Diceros bicornis minor: one gene and its partner. The protein of the gene in region 1 interacts with the protein of each later gene in a biochemical or structural test. Links are inferred from orthologs where the notes say so. Each region holds a gene or a part of one and is shown on either strand. Other genes may lie near its edges.

The links.
Region 2: the proteins of TEK (region 1) and ANGPT4 form a complex in vitro, tested with the Homo sapiens proteins (2 studies listed by BioGRID and IntAct). The link is inferred for Diceros bicornis minor from reciprocal best matches to the Homo sapiens genes TEK and ANGPT4.

The regions. Positions count from the first base shown.
Region 1 is NC_080761.1:48,411,739-48,426,703, forward strand, and holds the start of TEK (angiopoietin-1 receptor), read left to right. Parts: upstream 1-7,501; 5' UTR 7,502-7,575; coding exon 7,576-7,627; intron 7,628-14,965. UniProt on the Homo sapiens protein: Tyrosine-protein kinase that acts as a cell-surface receptor for ANGPT1, ANGPT2 and ANGPT4 and regulates angiogenesis, endothelial cell survival, proliferation, migration, adhesion and cell spreading, reorganization of the actin cytoskeleton, but also maintenance of vascular quiescence.
Region 2 is NC_080758.1:29,006,149-29,021,068, reverse strand, and holds the start of ANGPT4 (angiopoietin-4), read left to right. Parts: upstream 1-6,756; 5' UTR 6,757-6,897; coding exon 6,898-7,206; intron 7,207-14,920. UniProt on the Homo sapiens protein: Binds to TEK/TIE2, modulating ANGPT1 signaling. Can induce tyrosine phosphorylation of TEK/TIE2. Promotes endothelial cell survival, migration and angiogenesis.

The DNA of each region.
Region 1 (14,965 bases):
AAACAGAAAATAATAAGTGTTGACGAGGATGTGGAGAAACTGAAACCTTTGTGCACTGTTGATGGGAAAGTAAAATGGTGCAGCTGCTATGGAAAATAGTATGGAGGTTCCTCAAAAAATTAAAAATAGAATGATCATATTATCCAGCAATCCCACTTCTGGGTATATATATCCAAAATAATTGAAAGCAGGATCTCAAAGAGGTATTTGCATACCCATGTTCATTGCAGCATTATCCGCAATAGCCAGAAGGTGGAAGCAACTCAAATGCCCATCGACTGGTGAATGTATAAAGAAAATGTGGCATAGGGGCCAGCCCCGTGGCGTAGCAGTTAAGTGCGTGCGCTCCGCTGCTGGTGGCCGGGGTTCAGATCCCAGGCTTGCACGATGCACCACGTGTCAGGCCATGCTGTGGCGGCATCCCACAAAAAGTGAAGGAAGATGGGCATGGATGTTAGCTCAGGGCCAGTATTCCTCAGCAAAAAGAGGAGGATTGGCATGGATGTTAGCTCAGGGCTGATCTTCCTCACACACCAAAAAAAAAAGAAAAAGAAAATGTGGCATATGCATACAATAGAATATTATTTGGCCTTTAAAAAGAATGAAATCCTGTTTCAAGCTACAACATGGATTAACTTTGAGGACATTATGCTAAGTGAAATAAGCCAAAAAGACAAATGCTGGTATGATTCCACTTATATGAGGTATCTAAAATAGTCAAACTCATAGAAACAGAAAGAATTGTGGTTGCCAGAAGCTGAGGGGAGGGGTAAATCGGGAGTTATTCAATGGGTATAGAATGTCAGATTTGCAAGATGAAAAAATTCTAGACATATGTTGCACAGCAACTTGAATATAATTAACACTACTGAAATGTACACTTGAAAATGGTTAAGATGGTAAATTCTATGTTATGTATTTTAAACCACGGTTTTTTTAAAGGGAGGGGGGAATTTTACTGAATATAAATTATATCTCAACAAATCTGACTTTTTACAAATGACTGAAAATCTTCATTTTTTAAAATATTTGCTCTTTGCATTATAACTTTGTAGCTCTTCATATCAAAAGTGAAGTCTATTTTTCCGCCTCTCGAATCTAGTCTTAGCCATGTGACTTGATTTGGCGAACAGAATGTGGCAGAAGTAATGATAGGCCAATGATATTTTGATTTCATGTGGGCGGCCACAGCATTACAGCCCCTCAGTCTAAAGGCCTCCTTGTTTAATTAATTTAACAGCCTCAAGAGAACTTGCGTATTTCCACGCACTCCATTGGATTTCTGAGCCTGCCCTAATAACAGCCAGCCTAGCTTGATAGAGGATGAGAGATTTGTGGTTCCTTCAACCCTGTTGCCACACAGAACCCATCAGCTTGCCCATCCCTGAAAGTTTACTACAGAAGGATTGACATTTGACTGCGGACACGCGAGGGAGGCCCGCTAAACTCAGCATTGTCCAGGTGAGCCTGAGCTGTTGAGCCACGGAATCATGAGCTTCATACATGTTTGTTTCAAGCTGCTACATAAATGTTTTAAGCCGCTAAGTTTGGGCTGGTTTATTAGGTATCAATGTCTACCTATTTGAGGAAGTTTTCACAGATGAAGAGACATTTGAATGGTATTTTGAAGGATGAATAATGAATAGGCGTTTCTTTTCCTTTTTTCTTTTCTTATTATTTGTATCTTTTTTTGAAGGTTTTTTTTTTTTTTTGGCAAGGGTGTCGTGGAAATACCCCCAGTCTATTCTGGCAAATAGGTCTCATGATGGTTGTGGGGTGTCCTAATTATTTTTTCCCTTAAGCCATTGAGAGAATAGCACAGGATCATCTGAAATAAAGTACAGAGCCCCTGCCTCAAGGAGCGTAAAGTCTATCTGCAAAGATGCCAGGCAAATGCCAGGAGAAGAAAAAAAGGCATTAGAACTGGCCTCAGGGCCTAAAGGATACCAAAGCCAATACTACTAAAACTTTTACTGCAGTACCACCCCTTGGTATTTAGCCACACAATGCTTAATTTTATTTAACTTTTCCTGTTTTGATGCGTTGTGCCATGCTGGGATTGTGTAACTTTGAATTTCAAAAGCAGAGACCACATCTTCCCTATCTGTGTCTCTTCCTACAGCGACTAGCACGGTGCTTGCCATTTAGATACTAAAAAAAAAAAAAGGTTTCGAGTAAATGGGGTTCAGAGGGGGTCAGGTATTTTCCATAGCCATCAGCTCCACTCCAGACTAGAGTGGGTGTTGCCACTTAACTGTGGTGTCCTGGCTGAGGGCCAAGGCTTAATTGTTGATGCCCCTTCCTTTTCTGCTAGCCACTGTTGAGTACAGCGGGTTCACAAAAAGGCTCATGACAGTCCTTAAGAAGCCAGATGTGAGGGCTCGGGAGGTTCAGTGCCCACAGCCCTGTGAAAGGCAGAAGCCAAGGCTACGCTGTGGGGAATTCACACCCCGATCTGTTCACTCACCTCTTCCAGGTTGAGGTGCACTGGATTCTGTGTCTTATTTGACAATGGGTGTTTTTGTTTTTTTTGGTTTTTTTTGGTAAGGAGGATTAGCCCTGAGCTAACATCCATTGCAAATCCTCCTCTTTTTCCTGAGGAAGACTGGCCCTGAGCTAACATCCATTGCAAATCCTCCTCTTTTTCCTGAGGAAGACTGGCCCTGGGCTAACATCCATGTCCATCTTCCTCTACTTTATATGGGATGCATGGCTTGATAAGCGGTGCATGGGTCCGCAGCCGGGATCCGGGCCTGTGAACTCTGTGACTGTGTGAACTTAACCGCTATGCCACTGGGCCGGCCCCACCAATGGGTGTTTTAAGACACAGCCCAGTGCCCTGGGTCAGCTGTCTCAAGGATTTCCCCCCAATCTTCTTCTTTGGTACATATATGCTCATTATTTTTTAAAGTGTTGCAATTATAGAAATTTATAAAAAAGAAAATAAAAATTATCAGTTTCCAAAGACCCAGAAATGATAACTTTTAACATTTTGGTGTATATTTATTTTATATATGTGTGTGTGCGTGCGTGTGTGTATGTGTATAAATTTAATGCTGTTCAAACTGTTTTCCAATCAACAATATACCATAAATATCTTTACATCTTTCCATGTCAATATGCTTCCACAACAACATTTTGACATTTGTCTGGTATTTCACTGTGTACCATGATTTATATAAATAATCCATGTTTGTTGGCTTTTAGATTGTTTAGAGGTTTTGATTATCATCAGCAATGCTTCTATAATGCCCTTATATGTATATTTGGGAGCACATCTTTGATTTGAGCTTAGGGTATATCATAAAAATGGATCTTCTAAGCCAAAGGATATGCATCTAAGCCTTTGCTACATATCTGTGATATTGACCTCTAGACATGTGTTACTAGTTTACAGTAACATTGTATAAGTTATTTTCCAAACCTCTTCACAAACATTTTTTATTATCTGTTGATATTTTTGTTAATCTGTCCCAAAAACTTTTAATGTTTCCTGTAGATGACTTTTCATATATTAAGTGCAAAAAGTAGAGACTAGAAAATGAAATATCAGCCAAGTGCTTGTTTGCTCGTTTGTTGGTTTGTTTTTATTTTTGTTCTGCTCTGTGTCTGGAAAAATCAAATTAAGCTGAAAAGCTTGACTCATGAGGAAGCCCCCTTTCACTTCCCTGGAGCAAGGCAGTGGAGACCCACAGATCCTGATATTAGTGATTACTGTTTTGGAAGCACAATGAGAACTGATGGCATTTCTCAGTGTCATCGAACTTTTCCATTTTCTGTCAAAGTTTCATTTCAAATACCTTCTAAGGCCTGGGTGTACTCTCTTGGTGTTTGTGATGTCTCCTACATTTCTCTTTATCTACTCTTCTGCACACTGTGGTCTAAAGGTGAACTATGAAAAAAAGAGCCATATATTAAACTTGCAAAAATTGGAGGCCAAAAGACCAGGATTCTAATACTGCCTCTGGTACCTACAGCTGAGCAAGTTACTTAGCCTGTGTAGGACTTCGTTTCCTAATTGCAAATAGCTCTATTGAACAGTCCAGGGGTGGTGCTGGTGGCTGTGGATGGGGAAGGAACCCGTGGAGAGCCTTGACTAAATACATACTTGTGCCAGATACCGTGTATATATTATCTCCCTAAGTAGGCATTATTTTCCCCCATTTTAAAGATGAGGAATCTGAGGTTCAGAGATGTGAATTAAACTGCCCAGTTCATACAGTGAGTAAACTACAGCTACAACATGCAATCTAGGTTTGCCTGACTCCAAAGCCTTTTCTAGGTATGAGTATATGAGTAACAATGGGAGTATTTTCATTTATCAGTTCACTGAGTATTTATTTAAGAGCTATTTTGCGCCAAACATTGTGCTCAGGTCTGGGACTTCAGTGGTGAATAAATTAGATATGGTCCCTGAATCATGAAGATTGTAGTCAACTGGGGGGAAAGACACATTGAAAAAATAAAGATATGAATATATGATTATCAGTTGTGATTTATACCATGAAAAAATTACAGGGTGTTGTGAGAGAACAACAGGGGAGACCTAGTTTGGATTGAACGGTCAAGGAAGACCTTTCAGACTGAGACCTAGAAGATAACTAGCAGTTAGTCAGTCAAGGATGGAAAGAGCATTTCAAACTTTCCAGGTGGATAGAGCAGTTGAGGGTAGACAGCTGATCCAGCTGGTCCCCAACAAGGCTCTTCAAGGAATGGAGATGCCCTGATGATGGCCACAGCCAGCTTTGGCCATGTCCAAGTATGTGGTATTTCCTTAATACGTTATGTATTGGGGAAAGTCCTGTCCAGACATGGAAGTGGCCTCTCCCTTCCCTTGGAAATCCTGGCATGCCATCCAGTTTTGCAACTTCCCAACCTGTTGCCAATCAGCTCTGCTGACCTATTGGCCTCACCATGCATGGTGAAGCTCATATCATTGTTCCTTGATTGGTTCTCCACGTTCTATAAGATCCATAGAGCAGAAAGCTGGAGCAGAGCATGTCTGGGTACTTTTGTCCACAAAGTATCTTCACTTTACCTGGAACGTACCTACTGAAGATTTAGACATCCCAGAGAAAAGTTGCTCAGCCTTTTGACTAGCTGTATAGTCATAGGCTCAGGAAATCCAGCAATATTTATTAAATGGAGTCAATATTCTGGATATCGGTGGAAAGGATTAAATGGAATAATCTTTCTGGATCCTGGAAGATGAGATTAAACTACATACTCTTTTGGATAATGGAGAAATAAATTAAACTGAGCAACATTTCTGGATTATAGAGAGAAGAATGAAATGTAGTCACTCATTCTGGATAATGGACAGAGGAAGAATATGACTAACAATTCTGGGTAAGGATAGATCATTCTGGATAATAGGGGAAGGGTAAAATGGAGCCACTTTTCTAGGTAACAGAGGCAGGCATCCCAGAAAAGGAAGCAAGGTAGTAACACCTTCAGCCCACAAGAAGTAGCCAACAGGAGAGACTATGAGCAATGACAACTTCCTTGTGTGGCTATCCAGCACAAACAGAGGAAGCTGTGCCTGGGGAGGCAGGTGCCCTGGAGTTTGTTTATTGCCAAGGCCTTTCATTGCTGCTCCATATGGCCTTGGGCCAGTGGCCCCTTACGAAGTCTCAGCCACGGTGTTCTTAAAATAGAGCACATTTGTGACCCACTCAGGCTTTCATAGTGACAGAGATACAAAGCTAGCATCTTCTTGGAACTTCCCAGATCAGGGGACCTAGGAATCAACTTGGGGATGCTGAGAGTGGGACAATATAGTCATTCAGACTTAGGAGGTATTACAATCAGAAGGGAAATTAGTCATATCCAGTCTAAACCCTTCATTTTACACTTGAGGAAACTGAAGCCTAGAGATGGGAAATGACTTGCCCAGGGCCTCATTGGCAGATCACAGCAGAGCTGGGACTAGAACCCAGAGTCCCCGACTCCTGGATTGCTTCTTCACAATGCCAAACTTAAAGCCGTCCTGTAGGAATAGAGAATGGCCTTCTGGCGGAAGGTCTGGGACTGAAATCAGAGACAGAATGGAAAGACGAGAGGAAATGAGTATGTTAACATTTCACAAAAGCCTTCTATGAATTAGGCACAGTGCCAGATGTCTTTATGTATTTTTAAACCTCATCTAATCCTCTCAAAAATCCCCATGATGGAGATATTATTGCCATTTTACAGCTGTTGAAACTGAGGCTCAAAGAGGTTAAATAACTTGTCTTACACGTGGCCAAGCCGGTATTTGAACCTAGGTCTGCTTGCAAACAGAGCTGGAGCTTTTTTATCCCAGCACACCGGAAACATCAATTGGTTCTCAAGATTCTCACTGATGTGATAAAACCTGGGACAGAAATGAGGCAAGACTGGCAGCATCTACCTTCTCCTATGGAGAGTAGGAAAAGGAGGAGTAGACAGTTCTTTCCTCAGGCATGAACAGAATATCAACTCTATTCTGCAGTCATAGTTTGTGTTATAGAGAAATTGCCATCTGGATAAATTGAGGGTCTCTGCTCTCATTTTAGGTGTGGTGACTCCAATGGCTATCTTCCTTTTGGCCTATGTACTCTCTCTGCTCTTATGAATATTTTTATCCCAGTCCAGTCACTTATATTTGGTTTTTACACAGGTTATTTACAAAATTTTGGATAGAATTTGCTTCTGAAACATCATTGGCCAATAGCCACAAAATCCCTTTCATTACTAACTTCTATGCCAAGTTTGTTAAGAAATTAGATCACCTTCAGATGAATTGTTAATAAAAGCTAAAGTTATACCCAGTAGCATGGATATCTTTGGGCTCTTGGCCAACAAATAACCATCTGTGTGAAAGAAAACAGACTAACAATTTTGGACTCTGGTCTCTGGCCACATTGAGCATGTAATTACCTAAATGTAATTACCTAAATTAATTGCCTTTCGGGTTGTGTTCTCTCATCAGCAAAACTTTTCCCAATTCAAACCATGTGGGTTAAAATGAGAAAACAAAAGCAAAAACTGCTCCCACACCCAAAAGCCCCCTCTGTCAGGGCTCCCAAGTGGACCCGGGAGAGCTGTTAGAAGGCTGAGAGGGGCCATCATCATCGCATACCATACATAGGTGGAGGGCTTGTTATTCTCAGTTCCCGCCCATGAGAGGATACCCCTATTGTTTCTGAAAATGCTGACCAGGACCCACACTTCCAACAAAAATTCCTCTACCCCTACAACCACAGCAGCAAAAGCAGCAGCAGAAGCAACAGCAATAGATAAGTGTTTTGATGAATTGCAAGATGGAGAGGGCTCGCACTGCCCCCAGCCCTGCTGATACCAAATGCCTTTAAGATACAGCCTTTCCCATCCTAATCTACAAAGGAAACAGGAAAAAGGAACTTAAAACTCCCTGTGCTCAGACAGAAATGAGACTGTTACAGCCTGCTTCTGTGCTGTTCCTTCTTGCCTCTGACTTGTAAACAAGACCTGGTAAAACATGCGAATGGAAAGTCAGAAACCTCTGGGTGTTTGAAAGGATCCTTGGGACCTCATGCACATCTGCAGAAACTGGATGGAGAGATCTGGGGAAGCATGGACTCTTTAGCTGGCTTAGTTCTCTATGGAGTCAGCTTGCTCCTTTCTGGTAAGGTTTGGCTTTTTTAATTTAGTTTTTTTCAAACAGTTAGTGATTCTGGGCTCTCTCACCAACTCTTAGTGCTGGTTAACAAGGGGCAGCTGTGGCATAGGGGCTGCTTCTCTGTGACTCTCTGTTTAATGTATTTAAGGATTGAAATTCAAAGTCCTTGTGGCATGAACTAATTTTTCTAGACTTTCTCTTCTGGATAATTGCCCCCTGTGTTGCCACAGACTCTATGAGAACTGATTAGGTCACTTTATTTGAAGAGACACGCTTACTGTGGTGCATTATTTTATTGCTCCTTATTTGGGATTATTTCCTTATTTTTTAAAAAAGAAGAAACTTGGCTTTACCTGCTCCAAAGAAAATCTTCAGTAATTTTTTAAAAATGAAATTCATGCTGAGAACTATGGGGACCTACTTAAGGCAGCGTACAGATTGTCATTTTTAAATGAGAACAAAAATCCTTTTCTATAGAGATTTCGTATCAACATACAGTTTTAATCAAAGCAGTCAAATGCTAGGCTTTTTGTTTTTTCTTATAGTTGGGGTCAGGGAGATTAGGGCTATATAATTTTTGTTTTGTTTTAAAAAATACTTGGCATACAGTAATTCATAAAGTCTTTATTGGCCCAGTGAAATGAAAGTTTAGGCAGTCACTAAGATCACTGGGCACGGGAGCATATTGAAACCTGTTGTGGAGCTAAGGAATGGTTGGCCTGAATGTTGTTAGATTTAGTGTGTCTGTTGCTCAGATTCTCTAGCTAGTGGCATGTCTCTGCTGTTCCCTCAGCCTATGGGACACTGGCTGAAAGGAGTATCAAAACCTGAAGTGCACATCACAACCATGATTGCCATCAATCTTTCCCCTTCACTTTGAAAGCATTCTAATTATTGTACTGAAAATAGAATTGATATTGGAAATGAACTTGGGAAAATTTACTGAACTTAACGCTGCAGACTATATTATATTAATAGAATTTTAGCCAAATACACAGAAGTATCTGCTATATTATTTTTATATTTTTTCATGTTTGAAATATTAAATATTCAAAAAATTAATCCAATAAGATAACAGAATTGTATGTAATTTGTTTATAGCTCTTCAGTTTGCTTTCAACCACCAATTATATTGAGGATTTAATAATATTTTTAAAACTAAGAATGTGTAATACAAATTGCTGAAAATGAAAGATTACCTGAGATGGTTTCAATATTTATGTAGAAATTGTCTATATTAATGTAGAAATGTTGATTTCTCCAATAATATGCACCTTTAAATCAAATAATTATCATGATTCTATTTTGGGTTTGCTTCTTTTCTGTGTGACTTATTTATACATGATATGAAATCTGTAACTGGTTCTATCCTAGGGATTATAGTAATGCAAAGCCCACGGGTCTACAATTGCTCTGAGGTACTTTTTAGGTTAAATAATACACATACACACACAACTGTTTTAATTCACTTTTCCTCAAAGTGACTATGTTATAGCACTTTGCAATACAGGCTCAGAGGAGCTGTCATAAAATCAAACAAAAAAGTTATGTGGCCAAAATAGTTGCTCCATGTCTAGACCTCAGTTCACTGTAAATACAGCACTGACTTCAGCAGGGAGAGGCCCAAGGAAAGGGGTTCGTGCTCTTATTGGAAAGGAAGGGTAACACTAACAAGGTTGTTTCTGGGGTAGGTCTGTTGTGTTGAATCCTAACTTACATTCCTGGTCTAAGCCCCCATGAACATGAATAACCAAGGCTTGGTACTTGCAATAATAAGAATCCAGCATGCTCATGTCTACAGGCAGAAGAGTCCATTCCTCAGACGAAACTCCACTGGTGGACTACAGTAACGGAGCAAGGGACTTAAGGCTTGTGGGTTTATCTCTCTAGTACAGTGGGTTGTTTCTCATTCCTTTTTTCTGAACAAATAGAACTGAAAAAATATGTCACATTTGCCTCCATGAAGGTGGCTCTGGGTGGCAAATGCTGGCCCATAAAAGGGTTGGTGTGTAGTTTTCAGAAGCCTTCCCCCAAACCCACCTAAATTCTGGTAGATTCTCCTCCCAACTGAGAATCATGGCCAATTTCAGCTTATCAACAAGTTCTAATAAACGCACTAGCTTTTCCCTACTCTTCCATTCTCACCAAACCAGGCTGCTTTCTCTCAAGAGTCGTATATACAGAAAAACAAAATGAAACAAATCACTCTTTCTGCTTTATCATCCTATGTCCTATGCAATCAACACAATCTAGTGGGAAGTCTTTAGTAGCATGCCTTCTTTTCTGTCTCATTTGACATTCTAAATAACAAACTGGATTCAGAGATAGTGGATAGCTTGTTTGGAGTGGCAGAGAAAATTTAGTTATAAGGTCAGGGAAGTGATCCCAGATGGAACCTCCTCATTAGAGCTGGTCTTGGAAGGCTAGTATCAAGTCTGAGTAATCAAGGGTGGAGATCTAGAAGCTGGAATGAGAGACACACCTAGGAATTATTCTCAGAGGGAGGAGTGTTCTTTCTTCACGGATGCTCCCTTCTAAGCATTGTCTTTGTTGGGAAGTCTCAGCATTGCCCTTTCAGCCCTACCCTGGGAGAGCTTCCTGCAAGGTCTAATTCTTCTAAGACATCCGTCCAGGAGGGAAGGACTCTTCCAAGTCCATCTCAGAAGACTATGCTATGTCCTCTGGGGGATTCAGATGGGTAGGCCCTAAATTTTTCTGACATTATCAATTTGTCTCCTGGGGCTCTACCGCTAAAAAGATATGTATGTGATTGTGTCACTTATTCCCTGTAGATGGCTTGTTGGTTAGAGCACAGAATCAGGATTTAAATATGTGTCTCTAGGCTAGAAGGATGGGACCAAACACTAAAATACCATTTCAAAATAGATTAACATCAAGTTATGCATTTGGGCTCAATAAATGAATTATATTCAATGTGAGAGAGACCATAGTGAATGACACCCAAGCTTTGGTGATACGCAAAATTCATAGGCGCCAACACACACTCTGCTTGCTAAAAAGGTAATATGAGTTGTAATAGTTTGCATTAGTAGAAACATAAGGTCCAAATTAGAAATGGTAATCACTTCACTTCACACTATTGCTCAGGGCATGTCCATGAAACACTGAAGACACTGAGAAATTTGATAGCAAGCATAGTAGGCAAAGAGGAATGTAAGTGCTTTAGAAACCATGTCATATGGGAATATTTAGCCAGTAGAAAAGAGATGAAGAGCAGCATTTGTAAGGGTTTCCATATAAAGGACATCCTTGATTGACATTCTACTTTGCCAAATCTAGGATCCAGGGTTGGAAGGAGTTGCACAAAAGACAGAGTTTGACTTCATTGATGGAAATCTAAAAAGTGAATCGTCGCCTCCACGAGGAGGAGTGTTCAGGCAAAGGTCAGATGATCATCTATTAGGGATGTGAAAAGAGGATCTGGAGTGTAATGTTTACTGCCTTTCACATCCTTTTCATTTCACTGTCTGTGGTTCCTCACTGATCACTGGGCAGGTGGATAAGGGTTCAGAAAAGTCACAAAGATCTTTGCCCAACAAAATCAAACTGGTGTGTTTCCTGAGTGCAGACCCAAATATGATCAATTTACACTGAATTTTGACTCAATCAACATGCCTTATGAGAAAAAAAAAAAGGCACATGCACACGTACTATGGTGACTCTTTTTTTTAAAAATTTTTTTGTGAGGAGGATCGGCCCTGAGCTAACATCTGCCAATCCTCCTCTTTTTGCTGGGGAAGACTGGCCCTGGGCTAACATCCATGTCCATCTTCCTCCACTTTATATGGGATGCTGTGACAGCATGGCTTGCCAAGCAGTGCGTCGGTGCGCGACCGGGATCCGAACCGGTGAACCCCGGGCCGTCGCAGCAGAGCGCGAGCACTTAACCGCTTGCGCCACCAGGCCGGCAGTGATGACTCTTTTGAAGCCACTGCTCTGTGGGACTGAGGTAGAGCTAATCAAGAATGCGGGAGAAGTTAAGGGTATGGATTGTGAAGTCACAGCCCTGGGGTTAAGCTTAAACTGGATGACCATGGGCAAGTTACTTGATTTCTCTAAGTCACAGTTTTCTCATCTTTTATGGATGGGAATACCTATTTCCCAGAGTTGTTACAAGCATCAAGTGTGATAATACATGTAAAGTGCTTCACTAGTAAGAACTCTCTTAATAAATGAAGCCAATGTAATCAAAAGAGAAGTGTTTCTGTTAGGACCACTGGGCTAGTTCAAGACTGATCTAACCTTTTATAAGATGTAGGGGAGTCACTTACTACTCATAGAAGCAGTCTCCTTCTAAAAGACCTCCACATAATCCAGTTCCTCAAATTTTCTGCTGGTCACTCACCACTTGAGAAGCCAGAACACTTGGCCTACTATCCAGTGCCTCCCCTCACCTATCCATTCATCTCTGCTCATGGCCATTCTACTTCAACCAGGCCCATCTCTGCAATCTTTGCATTCTTTCCTCTTGGCTCTTGTTCACGCTGTTCCATCCATTTGGAAATGACATTCTCCATGTCCACTCTGCAAACACAATTCAACTCAACTTGCCTAGGCCAACTCTTCCTCATGATGTCCTTCCCCTAATTCTGAATTCTCTTCCACACAGGCCATGTCTTTGAGCTTTGGACACATAGATTTAGCCCAATTAGCCTCTAACATTTTGACAACAGATATTATTTCTTTTTTATTCTCCATAGTGCGTGCATTTAATGTTCAGTAATCTTTATTGAATGGAGTTTAATATTCCATAGTAAGAAACTATTGGGATGCCACAGCAGCACTGAAAGAAAGAGGGAACATTGTGGAAAGAGTTTTAGCCATGTTGAAATAATAATAACAACAATAGTAATAAATCAACTTCATAAACATTGCAAGTACTATTCACTCATATCTTAAAAGTTGGCTTATGTTAAATATTTGATGTAAATAAGGCCAAAAGAAAATCCCTTTCTTCTCTTTGGTGTGAAACGTAAAAGATATACTCATGAAATTGGGTTTAACCAGGACTTTACCTAATATTAGGTATTGTACAATTGTTGACTATTACCCAAAAGATATGAATACTTTTTATTCAGTAGACATTTAATGAGTTATTGCCTGCCTATCATTCATTCATTCATTCATTCAACTCTCATGTCAATCAGTGAAGACATATGGAGGACTTACTTTGTGCTAAGTACTGGACTGGACACCAGGAATACAACAAAGGCTGAGTCATTTTTTCCTCTTGCTAAACTCACATTTTAGTAGGAAAGATGACTACAGGCAGATGAATTATAAGATGTTGTGATAAATGATATAATAGGGGTATATACAAAATCTAGTTTTTTAAGAGCTACAAAAATTTTTATTGGCTCCAGTAATAAAAGATGAAACTTTAAAATCTAAGTTAAACATAAATGATTAAGTGTCTAAAAATGTCAACTTTATTAGTTTCTAAATTTAGTAGGAATAAAATTAATAATATTTGAAAACAATCTGTAGGTTAGATTTTCTTCACTTTGCAAGAACTCCTAAATAGTCATGAATATTGCCAAAAATTATGGCCTATCATGATTATGAGTTACTCATAGCCAAATGATTTTAACACTAAGAAGATAAAAAGGAAAAGGGAAAAAAGAGCTTTCCATTAGAGGGAGCAGGGGGTATAAAATAGCAAGGCAAGCTCAAGGAAGTTGAGTAAGGCTGGAATGTAGGGTGGAGGTAGAGAATTAAGGTTGGCGTCAGATCGGGAAGGGCCTTGTAGGCCATTTTAAGTAGCTTGTCCCTCATTCTCTACATGTTGAAATTTAGTGTGGTGTTTGTTCTATCATGTCTGATTTGTGTCTTGCAAAATTCACTCTGCTCATAGTGTGGAGGATGCATTGGCGTGGCAGAGACCGTAAGCCTGGAACAATTTGGCTTCCCAATACTCCAGGCAGGAAGGACTGGATGAAGTGGCAGACTGAAGAAGGGGATGAAGAGGGGGATTGAGAGTGTGTAGGAGGTGAAACTGTAGGGGTGGTGATTGGTTGCATATGGGAGGTTGAGTGAACAGCGAGAATAAGTGTTGCTCCGGGGTTCTGTTTTGGGCAATGGTGGTGCCATTCAGCGTGCTGGGAAATATGGCAGAAGGACTTGCTGGAGATGTGCTGGGTTGGAGCAAATAATTATTTTGTACATTTTGATTTTGAGTTTTCATGTAAAGGGGGATATTGAGCAAAATTTGACTCTCTGGGTCTGAAGCTCGGAAGAAGAGGATTAGGCATGGGATTGAGACATAGGAATCATTAGTTTATGGTAAGTGAAGCCGTGGGCATGGATGTATACCAAGATTTAAGTGAAGGGAAGAGAAAGAGGAGATAGCCAAGGGTTCTATGAAGAAGCAGTCAGGGAGCTGGTAGGAGAGGCAAACCCAATCAAATTCCTTTCCTTAGATTTTAGAGAATTGGCGTTGTAGTAGCTAAGGAAAGAAAGAGTTTTAAGAAGGGGACAGTAAGATGGGGGCAGCAGAGTGACAGCATCTGGGCCTAGTGTGGGGACACCAGACTGCAGGTGTGTCGTTTTACAGAGAGCCAGCTGCACTGATAGCATTACTGAACCAGAGCTGGAAGGGATGTCAGAGGATCAGCTGGCATCACTCCCAGCCTTCAGGAAAGGGAATGTCTAAAGTTACCTCCCTTATTTCTGGAATTTTAAACAGATAAACCAATTCCCACCAGTCTGGCCAGATATTCCATAACACACATCACACGTGCAGAATGTTTTTTAGATTGAGCCATGCCTGCCTCCCTCTACATCCCTCCCCCCACTGCCTCCTTTTGTCTCTTCAGGAATCTGACCATCCTTCTCCCTGTATTCCTTCCCATAGGCTGTAGGGGCAGGTGTGGAGACATGGATCTGCCAGATGGGCAGTCTTGACTCTTTTCAACACATCTGTTGATTAGAGAGAGTGCATTCCCACTGCCTGGTGGTTCCAGGTCTAATATGGTGTGGGTGTAACAAAGAGAGAGAGAGAACATTTAAAGATGAGCCAAAGGAGCCCATCGGGCAGCCAGTTGAGGGGCATGATGGGTGGCTGCTGTTTGCTCTCTGCCTGTCTCAGCCCCTTGCCCAAGGCTTGACCAATGAGGTGTGTGGGTGGTCACACCCATCTCAGCAGATCTGTCAGCTTTCCCGCTTTTGTTAGAGGGTGATATCATGCTTCCTGGGGGGAGTGCTGGAAGACAATGCTCGGCCACTTTCCTCCAGATACAATAGGCGGAGCCAGGAAGGCAGTATTGACATTGCTGCGGCTGGGGAGGCGCTCGCTGCTCTGTGGCCGTCAGATGGTGAACCAGC
Region 2 (14,920 bases), on another chromosome or scaffold:
CAGGGACACTGATGGATCATCCCCAGGGTTGTCAGCTGCCCCAGAGCTTCCTGCCAGACCTCACGACGTTGCCCTCAGTGGCCCCAGGAGATGCCCAGGTACTGTCCTCGGGGACGTGAACAGAGCAGTACAAGAGGCTGGGGCGCGCTATAAGCTGCCCGGTTTGCAATCCTCGGTTACCGCCCTGGGTGCTGAGAAGCAGGGAGCTGAAAAGGGAGGGGCTGGAGGACGTGCTGGATTGTGGAGATGAGGCCAGGAGTGGGAGACTCAGACTTGTGGCCTAATCTTCTCTTTGGATCTGTTAAAAAGCAAAATTCAACTGAGTAAATTTTAAAGACCTTATGGGCTTTATTCAACCATTCATGAACTGGGCAGCGTCCCATCCAGCAAACAGAAAGGAGCTCCGAGGAGCTGTGCAAAATGGAAGACTTACAGGCAGAAGGGAGGGGACCAGGAAGTTATAGCAGCAAAAAGCGGACTGATTGTGGCAAGTCACCTTCCTTTAGGGGACAGCGGGGGTCCGTCAGGCAGATTGCCTCACTGTGCCGACCAGGTTATTCCTGATTGATTGGTTTAGGATTCCATGCCTGGGAAAGCCGAAACTGTAATCAAGTTAGGCATCAAGTCTCGGTTTGGTGACATGGGTCTTAGCATAAGTGACTCCATTTTGAGCCTGTTGTCTTGTTTTTAACAGATCGAAATACTTGAGGAGCCCCAAATCAGCAAGTGACTCTCCAGGAATCATCCCGTTTCCCTGCCTTTGTTCTCAGGAGCAGGAAGATCAGTTCTTCCAGGAAAATAGATTCCAGTGTGTGACTTTGTGCAAGTCGCCTCCCTCTCTGGGTATGTTTCCTCATGAGCTAACCGCAAGGTAAGGATCAATGGCATCCACGGTCATGCCAAGGCTCCACTGGCTCTGGAGAGGAAGCCAATTCACTCGGTGAGTGGCCAGGATAGGGAAGCAGATGGGCAGGTGTTTTGCACCCATCAACATCCATCTCCCTCTTGGTCACTCTACCCCAGGTTCCCTTGAGAACCACCCTACCCTTCCTTCAATCCTTTTGGGTCCTATGAGGTTGACCCTACTCTAGGCCTGGGCACATGGCCAAGCCTGACCAATCAGAGCATCCCATTCCTCTAGCTACAGTGGTTGGTTTGGGAAAGTCCATGTGACCCAAGCCAGAACTTTCCCCGAAAATATCAGGAAAAAAGCACTCCATTTCTAGGGGGTTGGTAAGTTAATAGATTGGATCTGCTGCCAGTGGTGGAGGTGATGGTGGTGGAAACTGTCAGAGGATGAAGCCAACAGAGGAAAACAAGGGCCTACAGCTGGAGAAAAAGGAAAAAAAAAAAGATTCTTAATATCATTTGAGCACCTGGATCCAGCTATGCCTGAAGCTAGCTAGACACCCCTACACTTTTCGGTTACATTGGCCAATAAGCTCTCTTTTTGCCCAAGCCCTTTGAGCAAAAGCCAAAGTCTCCAGATGCATTTTCTCCATGCTCTGCCTCCAAGGCAATAACAGGCTAGTAAAGGGAAAATAAACCAGGGGGAATGGGGGTTGTTTTCAGTGTTTGGAGACAAGACACTTGAAATACCCCAAACAGAAACTTCCTGCTGCCCCTGCCCTGGAGAGAAAAGGATGACTTCCTTAGTTTCTACTTGGGGACTGCAGCTCCAGCCCCCACTCTCTAGTGGAGACTAATCTTTCAACAAACACCCATGAGAACCTGCTATGAACCTGACCTTAGGACAGGCAGCAGACACAGAAGGGGAAAGTGTGGTCAATGCCCTGGAAGGGTTTCCCGTCTAGAGGGGTATACAGGCCTGCAAACAGGCCTTTGTAATGCGGGTGAGTGCTTTTACGGGGGATGCACAGGCAAGGGGCATTGATCTCCCCAAGGTAGAGGGCCTGTTCCCACCAAAGGAGGGAGGCGGATGAGGGAAGACTTCCCGGAGGAGGTAACGCCTGAGATAAGACCTGAAAGACACGTAGAAAGAAGCCAGTGAATAAAGTGGGAAGGATGGTCCGAGCAGACGTCACCACAAGAGCAGACACTGAGGTCGGAGAGAGCGGAGAGCGTGTTGGAAGTAAACCAATTCCACATCACAAGTACAGAGTCCAAGGGAAGAGCGATGAGGCCGGGTCCTGCAGGGGTTTGTAAACCACGTCAAGGGCTTGGAGTTTAAAACTGACGAGTTTTAAGCAAAGTCAGGAGCTGGATTTGTGTCTTAGAAACATCTCTCCGGCTGCAGCATCCAAGATGGATCAACGAGAGTGCAGTTCTATCTTGTCCCCTCGGCAGAGATGGAGCGCCCCGGGCTGAGGGTGACAGTGGGGACATGAGGACATGGTTGGCTGTCATTTATGGAGCACTTAGCATATGCTGGGCTCTGTGTTAACCCCTTCCCAGGGATCAGCTTTTCAACCCTTTAGCAATCCTATCAGGTAATGACTAGTATCAACCCCATTGACAGAAGTGGAAACTGAGGCACAGGCAGGTTAAGCAGATTGGCCAAGACCGTACATTTGGGAGGCAGGACAGCAGAACTCCAGTCTAGACAGGCTGGCGCCGGTGTGCCCGGAGTAATGAAGAGTGGGAGGAATATTTGAAGGGTCACGTTGGGAGAGCAGGTCTGATTGGGCAGCAGGGCCGGGACAGGTAAGGGAGGAGCGAGATGCTCAGGTCTCCCTGCAGGACCGGCTGCATAACTCGAGGGGCCCAGTGCGGAATGAAAGCGCTGGACTCTTTGTTCAGAATTTATTAAGACTCTCAGGACGGTGACAGCAGAGCATTAAACAAAGCATGAGACCCTTCCCAGCACGGGGCCCTGGGCAACTGCAGAGGTGGCAACTCTGCTCCCAGGCTTCTGTCCCTGGTGCCTGGTCAAGGCTGGGCGATGCCAGTGATGGAAGAATCCAGGAGAAGCTCATTCGGGGCGGAGTCGGGAGGGTAGGAAATGGGGAGTTCTGTTTGAGACCTTGGGGGTCGTGTCCAGAAGGCGGGTGGTCCTGCGTCTGGTTCTCAGAAGTGAGGTCGGGGCCACGAGTCCACACACAGAGCCGTTCCGGGTCCAGAGTTCAGTGTCGCCTTCGGGTACCGGCACGTGGGCTCCCTGAGCTCACCAGCTGACCCCAGGTGGCGCCTTCCCAGTTCCCTCTCTGGGTCCTGCCATCAGCTCCTCCCACCTGCTGCCACCTTGGCACCTGCTGCTTCTCGTGGGAATGGCTGGTTCCGGTTTCCCCTGAGGCCAAGAGGTCACTTTGCAAACCCTCAGCCTCTGCGCTAGACTTATGCCCAAGCCACCTTGGACACTGGCTTTGGGACCTGGGTTAAAGGTCCTCAGCGGCCTGGCAGTTTGTAAACTCTCCCGAGAGCTGGCCTCTGCGAAATCTCGGGGGGACGTGGGTCGAGCCTGTTCGCGCCCTCCCACGGGAAGGCGTGGGACACTGCGGAAGACAAAGAGGACACTGCGGCCTGGAGTGGTCAGCCATCTGCCCAAGGCTGCCCAGCGTCTGTGTCCACCCGGGTGTGCCCTGTTAGTGCAGCCCCACAGCGGCTCCCCATCAGCCCAACGGGGAGAGCCTGGCTCGGGCATTGCACTCACTCACTCACTCATTCATTCATTCATTCAGCAGATCTGGACTGAGAACACACTGTAGACCAAACGCTGAGGACAGACAGAGAGAGATGAGAATCTGCACAAGGGATGGCCCTCCCGGCCCCTTGAGAAGGGCCGGGATAAAGCGGGGACTATAAGAGGGAGGTCCTGACTTAACACCTGCACAGGGCCGAGGGCCCGTGTGAGCGTGGATCAGTTCTGCTGCCGTAGCACTTCCCAGAGATGGCTACGGCAACGCACCTCCCATCCCGCGAGACTTCTTGTGACGATGACACTGCTCCATCGAGAGGCGGGGTCTGTGTTCCCTGCCTGGATCCTGGGCAGACCCCGACCAATGGAATGTGGTAGATGTTCCACTGATTGACTTCAAGGCCAGGTCATGGCCTAGGGGATGTCAGGGTGTCCTAGAGGAAGGCGATGTGACTTCCACCTGCTCTCTGGGGATGCGCACATTTGTAGCCCTGAGTTCATGTAGGAAGCCCGGCTGCCTGAAGCCCCCAAGCTGAAGACACCACCTGAAGACACCATGGTGGGCATGGGCTGCCCAGGTGCTGACAGGCGAGGGGAGACGCCTGTGGGTTGACCCCAGCTCAGCCACCACCCGACTGCGATTTCATGAGAGACTCGAGCAGACCGTCCAGCCGAGCTGCTCCCGAATTCCTGACCTACAGAAACCCTGAGAGACAATACTGTTTGTTTTAAGCTGCTCACTATTGGGGTAATTTGTTGGCAGCCACAGTAACTGGGACACTGGTGAAAGGTGGGGGCGAGGGTGGGTAGACAACAGTGTTCTGGACAGAGAAAGCAGCATATGCAAAGGTCCTGAGGTGAGAAGGAGGTGCTGAAATGGAGGTGCAGAGTTGGCAGGGCCATATCCCAGGCTCTCCAGAACTCTTCTTTGGATCCTACCTACATTTCTTCTGTGGACAGGTAATTCTGTCTCCTCTTCCGGGCAGAGGGCTGCTAGCATAATTATGGGGCCCATGTCTGTTTAACTAAGCCTGTGCTAAGCCTTCCTGTGCAGGGAAGGAGACTACATTTCATTCATTCATTCTTTCGATCAATAAGATTAAAGGCATTGCCTGTCTCAGGAGCTTCCCATTGTCATCCTGGTGCCCCAGAGGAGGTGTTCATGCCCTCTCCAGTGCACGGATGAGGAGACTGAGGCTGAAGGGTGGGTGTCCTCGCCCACTGCCCCGGGGATACCCGGGAGGAGTGGGAGGGGCTCTGGGGTCAGCGTGGCAGCTGAGCCTGCCCACCTTCTCAGCTCTGGGTCAAATAACATGCTGTGTGACTTTGGGCAAATCACTCTTCTGCTCTTCGGTTTTCTCATCTGTGAAATGGGGACGATAGCGGCGCTGGCCTTCCCGGGATACCACACGGCTCTTGACGCATGCTAATGACAGCCGCCCTCTCCTCGGGGCTCGTCTGTGCCAGGCTCTGTGATATACTCCTGGCCTGCATTAACGCGCTTCTTCTTTGAGAGGTCGGAGGTGGGGTGACCCCATTTACAGCTGAGACAGTTGAGGCCAGGCGGGCGGGCAGGGCTCTGAGCGCACGGGAAGCTCAGGGAACTCCAGTGGCTGATAACCAGCTGCCTTTCCTCTTCCTGCCAAAGCCCCACACACCTGGTACAATGTCCTCAGTCCCCCGGATGAGCCTCTACATCGCCGCCGCCCCAAGCAGCCTGCCTGGTTCAAAATTCCATCAGCATTTGGGAAAACAAAGGGAAAAAAAAACAATACCAAGCAGCTGGCCTGGCCCCCATGCTGGGAAAATGAGCAGAGAAAGCCGGAAGGCAGCCCACCCAGGAGAGGCCCAACCAACTCCCTGGCGCCTCCTGCCCAGCGACGCGTCACCCAAGAACAAGTCCCTGCCCTCGTGGGGTTTACATTCCAGCGACTTGTGGGAGGGGAGATACACTATAACTATGACGCTGACAACAGCAATAAAAAATCTTTATTTAGTGCTCACCCTGTGCCAGCACTGCTCTGACTCACTTAATTTTCACACCCTGTGAAGTGGATGGTATTATTTCCCTCAGTTCACCAAGAGGAAAAGAAGGCACAGACAGGTTAAGTGACTTGCCCAAAGTCACACAGCTGGTAAGTGGTGTAGCCAGGATTTGAACCAGTAAACAAGTAAACTAAAAACTCCTCAGTCTCTATGCTTAGGACTCACGTACATTCCTCATGCAAGAGATGGGGTTTGCCTGGCTTAGAGGTCGGGATGTGGAGGCCCAGAGAGGCGAAGCCGCCTGCCCGGGGTCTCACGGCCAGCAGTTGGGAGCGGGATTTAGACCAGCCACCTCTGACTCCAGGGCTGGCCGAGAGACCGCTGCACCCCCGAGCTCTTCTCCCCGCATTCCACCTCCCTGCTCCAGCCACAGGCGGCCCCGGAACAGTCTGCCCCAGGACAGCACAACCTCTCATTACTGTCACAGCAACTGAGCCAGGGCCACCCCAGAGTCCAACGTCCCCCCAGGCCCCGAGGGAGAAGGGAGGACGGGAGGGCAGGAGCCAGCTCCCAGCTGCGCGCCCACTTCCCTGGCCTCTCGAGGATTTTCTGTGCCTCCGGAGACAGGCGGGACTGGCTGCCTCCTCCCCAGCCTCACCCCTCTGCCCCCTCCCTTCGCTCTCCGGGGGGTCACTTTGCTTTTGTTCCAAGTGCTAACATGGAACCGGAGGGGGGAAGGGGGAGGGGGAGAGGAGGGGGTGGCGTGGGGGGCTGAAACTTGAGATCCCCGCCTCGGTTGGGGGAGGCTGGAGAGAGAGACAGACAGAGAGACAGAGACAGGAAGAGAGGCTTCAGTTGCTTTTGGTTTTCCGAGGCGGACAGCACTGGGGGGTGGGTGTCTGCGTGTGTGTGAGTGTGTGCGCCCGTGTCTGTGTGTGTTGTTTTCTGTCTTGGCCTCTCGCAGGGAGGCCGGGCCCCCACTGGATAATCAAAGGACCCAGAGGCGGCCGGTGCATGGACGGCAGGACAGGGCAAGAGTGAAGAGGAAGGAAGGGAAGGGGGAAAATAGAGGTGCGGGGGTGTCTGGGGGCGGGAGCAGGAGGCGGTGGGAGGAAGCGAGCAGCTGTGGTATTTGGAGCAAGTATAAATAGCCGCCTGGACGAGCTCGGCCAAACAGTGGTTTGCAGCTGCAGCCCTGCGGGCAGGCGGTCCACTGTCGGCCACACGGGTTCGTCCTGGGCACGGAGTTGGGCAGTGGGCAGGCAAAGCCCCTGGGGGCTCTGACCGGACACCCCTCGCCATCGCCACATCTCCTGATGCTCTCCCGGCCAGCCATGTTGCTGGGCGGCCTCCTCCTCACGGTGGCCACCATGACTGCAGCCCAGCGGAGGGGGCAGGAGGCGGGCGGGCGCCGCCGGGCGCACCGAGTCCAGCATGGCCAGTGCAGCTACACCTTCGTGCTGCCCGAGCCTGAGCCCTGCCCGCCGGAGCCTGAGGCCTTCGGGGGCTCCAACAGCCTCCAGAGGGACTCGCCGGCCGCTGCACTGAGCCTGGGGGACTGGCCGGCCCAGCGGGTGCGACAGCTGGAGAAGGTGCTGGAGAACAACACACAGTGGCTGCAGAAGGTAAGGGCTTGGCCTGCAGAGGGGGTGCTGGGGGGCTCTGGGGTCTGTCTCGATGGGCAGGGGGCGTGTCCGCCCCAGAGGCCTTCCCTGGGCACAGAGGGCCAGGCTGATGGGACCCTTGTCTCTGAATTGTACAGATTGGGATAATGAGGACCAGAGAGGGCAGGGATGGGCCTGAGGCCACACAGCAAGACTGGGCAGGGTCAGACTGGAAACCTGGCTCCCTAACAGCCATTCATTCATTCATCTGATAGAAATTCACTGAGCACTGACCACAGGCCTGGCCCATCCTAGATGCTGGAGGATACACAGTAAACAGAACAGTACATGCCCTTCTGGACTAGTGGGGGAAAGGGGCGAGAAAGAGATGAACGATGAATACCTGCTGCGTCAGATGGTGAAGCAAAATGAAGGAGGGTAGAGGGCAAGGAGTGACCGGGGTGGCTATTTGAGGTCAAGTAATTTGAGAGGACTTCTCGGAGGAGGTGGCATTTGAATTCAGAGAACAAGTGAAGTGATGGAGCCGCCCGTGCAGGTATCTGGGGGAGGCATTCCCGGCAATGGACAGCAAGAGCAAAGGCTGTGAGGTGGGACGCAGTCGGGCACCTGGGGGACAGCAGGGCAGCCGAGGGGCTGGGACAGAGAAAGAGGGGGAGGAAGGGGTGAGGGATGAGAGCCCAGGGAGGGGAGGGCACATGTTGGGCCTTGAGGCCACTGGAAGGACATTGGGTCTTGCTCTGAGCATCTCGGGAGCCACTGCAGGGTTTTGAGCCGGGAGAGACACACCTGATTTGATTTTAACAGAACAGGCTGTAGGGGGCAGGACGGGTGCTGGGAGCCCAAGAGGAAGGCCACTGCAGCCGCAGGCAAGAGATGATGGAGGCCTGGAGCGGGATGGGCCAGGGAGGGGGGTGGCCGGTCAGGTTCTGGAGTATTCTGAAGGGGGAGCTAACAGGCCATGCTGATGAATTGGATATGGGGTGGCAGAGGTCAAGGAGTTGAGGACTCCACCACCATTTTGGCCCAAGGCCGCTCTAGGATCTTCTGTCTCACTCTTAGCAAACACTCTGAGCACCCACTGTGTTCCCAGCCGGGGTGAGGAACTGAGGTGCAGAGGTGAAGGAGGCGGGCTTAGCCAAGGGTGGGCATGGGGGCAGAAAAGGCATCCTGCGGGGTCCAAGAAGGGGCTGGCCGCAGCCCCTAAGTAGCAGCTGCTGAGAGAGAGAAAGGGCCCGGGCACTTGGCACAGCAGCAGCCTGAGCGGCGGCTGATGGGGAGGGGAGTGGACCAGCTCCCGGAGCTTCGAATGTGTTAACCAGCAGACAGCGAGTTTTAGACTGTAAGGAGAGAGCAGAGGAGGAAGAGGCAGCCCACAGTGCCTCTCTGAGGAGCAGTCCCTTCTTACCCCACGGGTTCCAAATTATTCACATCATGTTCCCAATCAGCAAACAACGTTTGCTCCCCTGATGCCTGCAGATTTGTTTAATATTCATGCACATGGACCCATGTTCATATAACACGTACAGGGTACAACACATATGAAGATAGAACTTAAAAAAGATGACAAGAAATCATGTGAATTGAAGGTCTGGTAGTTTCCTCCTGTTTTCCAAAGGATGGCCCTGTGCACACCCTGAGACGATCTGTTCCCAAGATGCAGAGGCGTAACGTATCTAACCAACCTGTGTCATGCACACTCGTGTACACACTCGTGTGCGTGCACACTTAACATCTTATCTCATACCTGCCCCGACCACTGTCTCCTCAGCCCCTCACTCACCATCTTGCCCACTCGCCCTTCTACCCAGCTGCCCTGCAGCACATCCAGCCTGCCACCATCCCACCCCAGATCCCCCTCGAGGGAGCTCTTGGCCTCACACACTGGAGCTCTCAAATCTGTGTGTATCTCTTCAGGCAGCTGTTTCCAGTCCCATAAGGGTCATTCCAAATCTTTCCTCCTCCTCAAGCCTCCATCTTCACCCCCCTCATCCTCTCACCGGACCACAGGCCTCCTACTTCAACAAGAAATGGAGCCGAGGGGAGAGACGCCTCTCAGCTGCTGCCCCACACTGCAGGTTCACCAGTGCACCTGCCAGTCCCCAGAGCCTTTCTCTGGCCCAGAGGAAAGGGGTTCCTCCATGGGCCAAGGCCACTCTTCCCTCCTAGGCTGCGGGTCCCTCCCCTGCAGCCCTGCAACCCCTCAAACCAACCATCCTCTCCTGTGTGCCTGACAACTCCTCCCTCTCTGCTGGTCCTTCGCCTCAGGGTTTACTCGCATCCCAGTATCTCCCCTGTTAGAAAAGGAAGAGGGAGAGGAGGGGAAGAAGCCTCTTCTCCACCCACAGCCGCTTGGACTTCTGGCCTGGCTCTCAGGAGTACACACACTCTGCTTCCGCCTCCTCACTTCCCACCGCCTCCTTCCCTGAAGGTCGCCTCCCCATCCACTTCCCGCTTCCCATGGCCATGGCCCGGTCTTCATCTGACTTGACCTCTTGGCGCATTTGACATTGCTGACCAACACTATCCTTCCAGAAACTGTCTCCATCAGCAAGTCCTCATCTACAAAACATACCTACTGGGACCACTTTCCCAACCTCCACAGCCCCACCCTGGACCTGCCACCTCCGTCTCCTACCTCGACGGTCATCACGGCCACCGCCCTGTTTCCACCCAGGCCTGTTCTTCACTCGGTAGACAGAAAGATCCCATTAAAACCTAAGTTAGATCCTGTCCCTCCTCTGCTCAAAACCTTCCCGGGGCTCCCATCTCTTCAGAAGAAGAGCAAAAATCCTTACTGGCTGGAATACACCCCCCTAGACACCCACGTGGCTCACCTCTGGCCTCCCTCAGGTCTCTGCCTAAGTGTCACCTCCTCAGAAAGGCCCTCCCTGTCCACCCCATTTAAAATAGTCACCTCCTGTCACTCTCTGTCCCTTCACCTGGCTTTGGTTTTCTCTCTTAGCACTTATCCCACCTACTCTTAAAAGCATTTCTTTTGGTCTGAGAGCTCCAAGGGGGCAGGGACCACATCTGTGTTGTTCCCTACTGGGTTCCCAGGGTGTAGGACAGTGCCTGGTATGCAGTAGTGCTCGATACATGGCTGTCAAATGCGTGGATGCATGGATGCATGGATATGTAGGCGCATGGACGCATGGGTGCGTGGGTGCATGGATGCGTGAATATGGGGGTGCATGGATGCGTAGATGCGTGGGTGCGTGGATCATGGATGCACGGATTCATGGACGTTCCTCCAATCTCCCAGGTCACTCCCACTCCTCCTCCTCTCCTGCAATGTTCGTGTTTCCCAGGACGTAGTCTTGAGGCTTCGTTTCCTCCCACGCTTCATGGCACTGCCCCCAGGGCTGTCCCCAACACTCCTGCAGCACCTCTCCAGCCTGCTCCATGATGACATCAGATTGGCATCTTATGGACTCCTGAGCCCCAAATCCATGACCCTGACCACACCCCCATGCCGCCGGGCATCTCCCCTCTGAGGGCCCCTGGTGTCTCAACTCCAAAGCTGCCTGAAACTCAGCTCTTCCCTCCCCTGCCCACCTCTCTCTGTTTGAGGTATTACCACCCAGCCAACAGGCCTCCTGCTGCCAAAGCCAGGTGAATGCTCCTGGGGTGGCATTCACCCCACCTCACCCCCGGGTAGCAGGTCCCGTCCATCCTGTCACCTCAGCTTCTCTCACTGGCCTCCATCCTCCTGTCTCCCTGGCTGCTGCCCTGGCTCAGGCCTCGTCACCTCCCACCTGGCTCCTCTACCCTAAGTCTCACCCTCTCAACCATCTGCGACTCCCCTGGGTGCCTGGTGCTCGGGCAACACTGGCTGACCCAAGGGATGGATTTAAAGCGGTGGCTTTTGAGTCAGAAGGCCACCCAGCTCACGTCTTCAGCCGGCAGTGGAATGTCCTCTCCAGGTGTTTGTCCACCTAGCCTGACAGTCCTGGGCAGCGGTCACCATAGAGCGCCATGGGGCTAAAGAGCACTGCTGTGGGAGCCAGGCAGACCCGAGTTCACATCCCAGCCCTGGGCTTACTTGCCACTTGGCTGTGGATGAGCGAGTCTCGGTTTCCCCATCTGCAAAATGGAGAAAATGACAGGATGTCAGGGGGTGGCCGGGGAGACCTGCGAGGACGCTCACATGCTGCTCTCAGCCGCCGCCTGGCTGCAGGTCAGGCTTCGGGATGACGTCAGGTTGCCCATGTGGGCAAGGATGCAGTAGATTGATGGGCTTTTATTGAATTCAACATCATCTCTATTTCGAGCCCTGCACCCCCGGGTGGGGAAGCTCGGTCTTGATCAAGACAGTCCCAGGGTGGCAGGTAACCTCGGGGCTGGGAGTGTCACTGTCCAAGATGGTGTTCTCGAGGGGTCCCCAGTCCTGCTTGGTTGCTGGTGGGGTCCAAGCTGCTGTTCGTTGTGACTTCTCCTGGGTAAGGGGCCCCTGGGGTTAAGCGCTCCCTTCATGCCCCTTGGTGCTCGGGTCACTGCCAGGTCACCCGGTGCCCGTGGAGCCTGCCATGAGATCAGACCCATCGGCCTAACCACACCTGGCAGGCACTTTCCCTGGGTCCTGTCCTCCTTGGGGAGCAGCATAGCCTGGAAGGTGAGAGCCCCAACTCTGAAACCCAGCTGTTGGGATTAAAGAATCGTCCTGCCCCTTCTTAGCTGTGTGACCTGGGGCAAATTGCTTCACCTCTCTGAGCGTCAGTCTCCTCGCCTATAAGACGGGATGACAACACTACTCACCTCTGTGAGGATTTAACAAGATGATGTGCATGAAGTCTTTAGCCTGGTGCCAGACATATAGTAAATTCTCTATAAATGCTGGCTGTTTCCGTTAGAGGCTCTCCTAGAAATAGAAACACAAGTCCTGCAATCCTTGGGTCCTTCCTCCCCCAGCTGAGACATGTGGCCCCTGGCTCAGGGATACACAGCATGTGAACAGTCATCCCTCCGACTCCCCCGGGCCCCTGTCATGGATGCCTGCTACCTTCTGAGGCTGTGACCTTCCTCTGGCTTGTCTCTCGTGCATTCTCTTGGTCTGGGCACATCTGAGTCTTTGACACTTGAAGGCCTCTTTTTGGCTTCTGCTATAATATCCCAGAAGAGAAAAAAAACTAGTTTCAAAATATTCTTATCTAGTAGCATCATCATCATCACCATCACCACTTGGGGTGACCAGGGATGACGGAGGGGGGCGGTGCCTGGCCAGACCGAGCACCCAGCAAGATTCCGTTCATCTGGGTGGGTGCAGGGGCGCTGTTGCAAGTTCCCAGCAGCCAATGCCTACCCAGCCCATGCCCCCAACCCCTCTCCTTGATCCCCCAGGTGAGAAAACTGAGGCTGGGGAGGGGAAAGGACTTGCCAGAGTCACACAGCAGCGAGAGCCAGCCTAGATTCTCACTCCAAACTTCATATTCTTTCTCCTAACTCTGGAGGGTGTCAAGGAGATGGCGGAGGCAAGATCTGAGCAACAATGGGCTGTTTCCTTCTGCATCAGAATTCCTGAATCCCAAGATACCCACTGTCTCCTCCCAGCATGCAGCTGGCTGATGCCCTCCTGCCAGTGCTCAGAGTGCAGGGGGCAGAGGGTGCCTGCTCCCTCTCCCCCTCCTTACCACTCTCCTCTGCAGCCCTCCCCCTCTCCTTCCTTCTACTGTTCTCCCCTTCCTTCCACCTCTCTCCCTTCTCTTCCCCCTCCTCCTGGAAGGCCTCTGCCCCAGTAACTCACGTCTGGAGTTGGTGTTGTGGGGTGCACATCAGCTCTTGGCTCTGCTCCACCCCTCATCTGGGTGAAAAGCTGAAAACCCACAGCCAGGAATGTTGAGGGGGTGGGAGGACAGAGCCAGCTGGAGAGCAGGCTTCTGTAGCTGGGCCTGGCAGCTCAGTGGTTAGTCACATGGCCTCCCGGGGCCCATCTGGCACTCGGTGCCTCGTCTGTGGAGAGCATCTCCCGTCTGGGAGATGTTCTCCCAGAGCCGGGAGAGCATCTGCCCACAGCAGGCGCTCAGTGGAGGCTCCTCATGTTCCTGTCATTCCCTCAGCTACCCAGGTCTCCCCGCCAGGAGGTGCCACACTCTGCCCTCTCCCACGCCCCCCACAGGGTTCCATTCTGCAGATGAGGGAAGTGAGGACACCAGGGCTGACACAAACCCTCAGGCACCCCAGCCCACCCCCCGCACCCGAGGGCAGCACAGCTTCCTCTGAGTCTCTGGGGTCTCAGGGGCAGGGAAGACTCTGAACCCCGAAACTGTGGGGCCCCCCACTCTCTTGCCTGCATCGGCACCGGGCCCTTTCTACCTGTCTCCCTGTCTGTCTCTGCCTCTCTCCAGCTCCGCATCTCTCTGCCTCCTGCGGGTCTCTCTCATGGTGGCGCTGACTCACCTCTCTGACTCTGTAGGTGTCTCCGTCACTCGGATTCTCTCTCCTGTCTGGCTGGCATCTCCGTGAGTCTCACCCCTGTCTCTCTCTCAGGTCCTCCCCTGCCCCCTAGGCCATCTGTCCCTCCCACCTCTACCTCCCCAGGTGTCCGCATGCTCTGTCCACACTGGAGTACCCGGGACACACCGGCCGATGGCCAGTGCCCATCCCTCGGCCGGGCTGCTCAGCTGGGGCCTCCCTCTCTTCCCTTTCTACACCCAAAGCCAAGCGGGAGCGGTCCGGGGATGGGCAGGAGCCTCCCGGCCTGGCACTGCCCCCAGCCTCTGCCGTCCGCTCCAGGTCCCTGACGTCAAACCTCAGAATAACTCGACCCCTCAGCCCAGTGCTCTCGAGGCCTCGCCTGGCTGGACATGGGTCAAAAGCACATCCAGCGGGAGCGCAGTGTGGGGTCCTGGCCCAGCCCGAGACTCTCCCTGACTGGCCCAGGCCTCCCAGCTGCCCCGGCCTCCCCAGGCTGCCCGTAAATTCTTGGCATTTTCGCCCTCTGGTTATCCAAACAAGAAATGAATCTCGGTTGCCGAACAAAATGTCTTGGGATTTGATTTCCTAACTTCACCGCTGGCTCCGTTCTGTTTGGGGATGGGGGTTGGGACGGGGGAAAAGCATCTACTTCTTGGAGGAATGGGGTTGTGACGGCTGGCCCAGATGCGCTCGGCCTAGCGATGACCAGGGAGCAGCGGCCCCTTGCACGGCTTCCGCCAGAGGGACAGGTTTATCTGTTCAAGGGCTTGGCCAGGCCATCCCACGGGGCAGGGCCACGTGTGTCTGGCTCTCTCCTCCTAGGCCCCAGAGCTTGGCCGGGCTGGGACGTGCACAGACCCTCTCCCCTTCTCTCCTGGGGCAAGACATATGAGAAAACAGGCCCCCTAAGCCTGCACCTCTGCCCAGACGCCGGCCTCCGAGCGTTTGCTTAACCGCAGAGTCGGCTCTGAACTGTCTGGAATGGACCCCAGAACCCGCTGTGGGGTCTGAGGCAGACTGAGCTGGGTCAAGGGGTCATGTCCCAGAGGTGCGACTGACCAGCTGTGGGGCTCTGGAGAAGCCACCTGCATTGATTGATTCCCCTGGACAGTGGAGCTCAAAATACTCCCGTCTCCCAGAGAGAGTGTTGGAAAATGGAAGGTAACAGAATTTGTGGCCAGCACTGACTGAGCACTTGCTGTGCGCCAGACACTGTCCGACGTGCCTTGTGAGATTATTGCATTTAATTCTCACAATGAGCCTATGAGGTAGGACTGTTTGCCCATTAACGGATGAGGAAACT